Kluyveromyces lactis: one gene and its partner. The protein of the gene in region 1 purifies or fractionates together with the protein of each later gene. This does not show direct contact. Links are inferred from orthologs where the notes say so. Each region holds a gene or a part of one and is shown on either strand. Other genes may lie near its edges.

Region 1 (2,429 bases):
TGCAGGAATTTCATATCAGGTAACTTTTGCACCATCCCTTCAAAGCAAGCCGGAAAGGTTACCTATTGCTATCGACGAAAACGGTGCCCCTATACCAAAGAAAGATCCGTTCGCAGAACCTGAACCTGAATTAACAATTCTCGATGATTGTGCCGGTGATTATAAGTTATTACTGAACAAATACCCAGTTGCCGCAAACCATTTGATACTAGTAACGAAAAAGTACTTGTTGCAGACAGCTCCTTTAAGTCCCAAAGATTTGTTAACTACTTATAAATTATTGCAAGAATTAGATGACGAAGATGAGATGTTGAGACATTTGGCCTTCTATAACTGTGGCCCAAACAGTGGTTCTTCTCAGGATCACAAGCATCTTCAAATCCTTCCATTACCTTATAAATTCGTTCCTTACCAGGATAAGTTATGTAGTGGTAAAGAACATTTCATTCCGAACGCTAAGACTGAACCTTTACAAGATGCAAAAATCCCATTTGCACACTACGCCGTTCCATTACCTGAGGATCCTGAAAAAGTGGATGAAGATCTACTAGCAATGACATTTGTATCATTGTTGCAGAGAACTTTATCTATGTTCCAGGATTGGGAGGGAAGTAACGCAGAAAAATCAAATGACGATGAGGCCAGTATTCCGGCATATAACGTGCTGATGACAAAAGAATGGCTATGTTTGGTGCCTAGATCGAAGGCATTTGCAGAAACTCCTAGTATTGGCTTCAATGCTACTGGATACGCGGGTTTAGTGTTGGTAAAGTGGGATGAGACTTTGAAAGTCCTCAATGAAAACCCATCGGCTGTGACCAAATTGCTATTAGAGTGTTCCTTCCCTAGCACTGCAGGCGCTAAACCAACAGAATATCACTATTGAATAAGCTTTAGTGTGAAAAATAAGTCTATGGGCTGCCCCCAGGTGGCTAACACACTTTCTTATGTTTATGATGTGAATTCATGGTTCACTGGTAAAATTGCTCGATGGTTGATTTCCAAAGCGGACTGGCTACTAAACAATCACGTATAGTAAATAATTGTGCAATGCAATACCATCAATAGATTTCGACTAGTTACGGGCTATCATGAAGGCAACTCACCAGTGAAGTTCCAGAACAGACGATGGGCGTCCGCACTTCGGTTCAGTAGTGATCACGTGATATTTGACCAATGAATTTCGATAATTTAAAATATATTATGTGGTGTACCTGTTTCTTAGTCAGTACTAACCAGTTCTTCGATTTTTTTGAGTTTTTCGGTTTTAACGCTTAATACATAATATTAGCTCGATAGAAACAATTTTTTGCAGATTATCAAAACTTTTCATTCAATACATTACCACTAAACATTGGTAACATTTTGTCAAAGTTCCATTTACTTTACGAAGCTTTCCGATTTGTTTCAGAGCTTCTGACTTATTCTTAGAAGGCCGAACGCTCAAGTAACAACCACGTTTCACATTACAAATGCCACAAACATTTACTTCTATTGCTAAGATCGGTGACTACATTTTAAGAACCCCAGCTCTTGCTAAAGTTGTCGTTCCAATCGCTCACCAGTTCATCAACTTGTCTGGTTACAGAAAGATGGGTTTGAGATTCGATGACTTGATTGAAGAAGAGAACGAGCTTGCCCAAACTGCTTTGAGAAGACTACCAGCCGATGAATCCTACGCTAGAATTTACAGAATCATCAATGCCCACCAACTATCTTTGTCCCACCATTTGTTGCCAAAAGATAAGTGGACCAAACCAGAAGATGACATTCCATACTTGACTCCTTATTTGTTGGAAGCTGAAGCCTTTGTTAAGGAAAAGGAAGAATTGGACAACTTGGAAGTTGCCAAATAATCTCATCCTTGACTGAATTATTCAAAATATCATTCAAAAAAATTACTCATGACCCTCTGACGAAGAGAAAGAAGAAGGAAACACATTACATTATGATCGCAAAAGATTTCAAATTCAATATATCCGTTACTTGCATAGCCAGCTAACGCAGACGCTATTATCGTTATCATATTTTCTTCTAGGAATGAAACAACTTATTTATCTCTAAACTTTGTGAATATCAACCTCTGACAAATATATCTTTATTATTCTAACTTATGTATATATATCTATATATACCAATCTGATTTACATCATTCATTTTTGATACTTTCATTTAAAATTGGTTTTACCAAAGTATTGGCATCGTTACTATTAATTATGTTCTGGTATTGATGGTATTATGTAATTTCTCATAGTAATTAAGCGTTTGGATATATTGATATTTGCTGGAAAAGAAAATATAATGATTGTGGTATAATGTTACATGTGAGGAAAAGGAATTGTCCTTTTGCAATACTACAATTTTGATTCCCACGAAGTGACCAGTTCTATAAAGTTTGGGTCATAACGCGTAATAACCGAATCGGCTAT
Region 2 (2,575 bases), on another chromosome or scaffold:
TCGAAATCCCAGGTCGTGGTAAAGAAGACTTCAAAGCACATTTGACTTTTGTATGTGATGGTATCTTTTCTCGCTTTAGAAAAGAGCTCTCCCCAGATCATATCCCCTCTGTTGGATCCTCTTTCGTCGGTATGTCTTTGTTCCATGCAAACATTCCATCGAAGAACCATGGTCATGTTATTCTAGGTACTTCACATATGCCCGTGCTCGTATATCAAATCTCCTCTGAAGAAACAAGAATTCTATGTGCATACAATTCAGCAAGACTACCTAAAGATATAAAGTCGTGGTTGACTACTGATGTTAAACCATACTTACCTAAATCTTTGTTGCCATCGTTTGATAAAGCGGTTGAAGATGGTAAATTCAGATCAATGCCAAACTCTTACCTACCAGCAAAGCAAAATACTGTCACCGGATTATGCGTCATCGGAGATGCCTTGAATATGAGACATCCTTTGACTGGTGGTGGGATGGCTGTTGGCTTGAACGACGTTGCTCTACTAATCAAGACTGTTGGTGATTTAGATTTCTCAGACAGAGAGACTGTCCTTGATGAATTACTAGAATACCATTTCGAAAGAAAGCAATATGACAGTGTCATCAATGTACTATCCATCGCTTTATACTCATTGTTTGCTGCAGACAACAGAAACTTACAAGTATTACAAAGAGGTTGTTTCAAATATTTCGAAAGAGGTGGAGACTGTATTAGATTGCCAGTAAGTTTCTTGGCTGGTGTTCTTCCAAAACCGTTCTTGTTGACCAAGGTGTTTTTCTCAGTGGCATTGTACTCCATATATGTTAACTTCCAAGAAAGAGGCATTTTGGGATCCCCTCTGGCATTATTAGAGGCATTTGCTATCCTATTTACAGCTGCAAAAGTGTTTACTCCTTACTTGTTCAAAGAATTGATAGGTTAATGTGGTTGCTGAAATCCATCCGCCAAAGAAATTCAAAGATAGAAATATAAACTAATGATAATAATAGACTTCTGAGAGTAAAAAAGTAGCTTCAGATTATTTGATCCTACATTCTCTCATAATGACTTTTTTTTGCCTTCGCTTTTATCTATACATGTGATGAACGCATCTGACAGAGATGTTGAGGATACTAACTTATTCAATTTTAATATATACATGTGTGTAGTAAGCAACTCCTGGGCCACACCACCTGTAGTTTTTTACCGTAATAATCTCGCTTGTTCTATCCGCCTACAGACTCCTTCATGGGCTGTACTAATCCATGTTCTCTCGACAAAGCTGTCCTACGTTGCGCTTCTTCAAACCACTAACGGTGATTATTTGTATATATATGTTAGTTGTTACCCGCACATATTAGCTTATGGCTAAAGCCTCTGGAAAAAGTAATTATAACGGAGCTAACCTTTAAAAGTAGACAGAGATGTGGAGCAACGCTGAGTTTACACTCTTGATGAGACAGTTAAGAGCCGTATCACACCAGTGAAGCGTTGCATTTATCACGTTTATTTATTTTTTAGCATGGAGTCTTCGGGTTTTTTACGCTGGGGTAAAGTTTTCGCTGCAGGAGGCAGTATTATATTAACTGGTGTGCTTTTATTCAAATATACAACACCAACCGATGAGCAACTCCTTCAAGCATTATCACCGGAGTTGAGGCTACAGTATGAGAGAGAGAGGAATCTACGTCAAGCTGAGCAGCAAGAACTAATGAAAGTTGTACAGCAAACCATGAAGAGTAAAGATCCTATTTGGAAAACAGGAACGGTCGATTCACCATGGGAAAGAAATGGAACTCAAGCCACTAAGGACCAGTTCCAAAGATTGAAGGCAGATCAAGTTCAGAAGGAAGAGTTGGAACGGATCAGACAGGAATTGGATAAGATTAGAATGGAGAGTCTGGACCAAACAGATATGATCGTTTCCAAAAAGAGCTGGTGGAGTCTGTGGTAAATGCTGGTATTCTACGTTTCGATATCGGATTTCTCTCGAAACCGAGTTTAGAGCTCAATTTGCATTATTTTTTCCTCAAACTTTATGGCGGAAACCAATCCATCCACGTTGATGAATCGGTTATCTGAAAGTTACTTTACTAACCGCCTGTAGATATTATTTATCGTTGTTTTCGAAATCAATGGAGTGTATATAATTTTTCCATGAGTTTCGACTTTATTTATTCATATGATATTATTATAATCCACTATTAACTATTATGCTGCAAGGCCTATCAACATTAATATGACATTGGCGTTAAGATAGCGGGGTTATTTTCTGATTTATCATTGATGTGACCCCCAAGCACTGAAATTTGAATAACTGAACGCCTGGAACGCCTCAGAGATTCGATTCCCTGCTAGTTTGGTGAAAGAATTTTCACTTTCATTAGCGTTATTCAATTCATCTACAGCACTTACGATTTTCCTTACATTGGTCTCTATCACCAATCCACCTTGGATAATCTCTTCAAGTACACTTTCCAATGTTTGCCAATTGAAGATTAAGTCTAGCTCATTCACTTCTTCGAAACATTTATCCAATGCCTCTACAAACGTTTGAATCAAATCTAAGATTGCTAGTTCTGATTCTTGTTCATC

Evidence for each region. Proteins that work in one complex are often made in the same cells at the same time.
Region 2: the proteins of QCR7 (region 1) and CBP4 purify together in Saccharomyces cerevisiae (affinity purification with western blotting; 3 studies listed by BioGRID, with this or other methods). This does not show direct contact. The link is inferred for Kluyveromyces lactis from reciprocal best matches to the Saccharomyces cerevisiae genes QCR7 and CBP4.

Annotation. Positions count from the first base shown.
Region 1 is NC_006039.1:60,613-63,041, reverse strand, and holds QCR7 (ubiquinol--cytochrome-c reductase subunit 7), read left to right. Parts: upstream 1-1,472; coding exon 1,473-1,856; downstream 1,857-2,429. Other genes in the region: KLLA0_C00847g (uncharacterized protein), read left to right, coding at 1-886. UniProt on the Saccharomyces cerevisiae protein: Component of the ubiquinol-cytochrome c oxidoreductase, a multisubunit transmembrane complex that is part of the mitochondrial electron transport chain which drives oxidative phosphorylation.
Region 2 is NC_006042.1:1,404,538-1,407,112, forward strand, and holds CBP4 (Cbp4p), read left to right. Parts: upstream 1-1,502; coding exon 1,503-1,934; downstream 1,935-2,575. Other genes in the region: ERG1 (squalene monooxygenase), read left to right, coding at 1-923; APS3 (Aps3p), read right to left, coding at 2,261-2,575.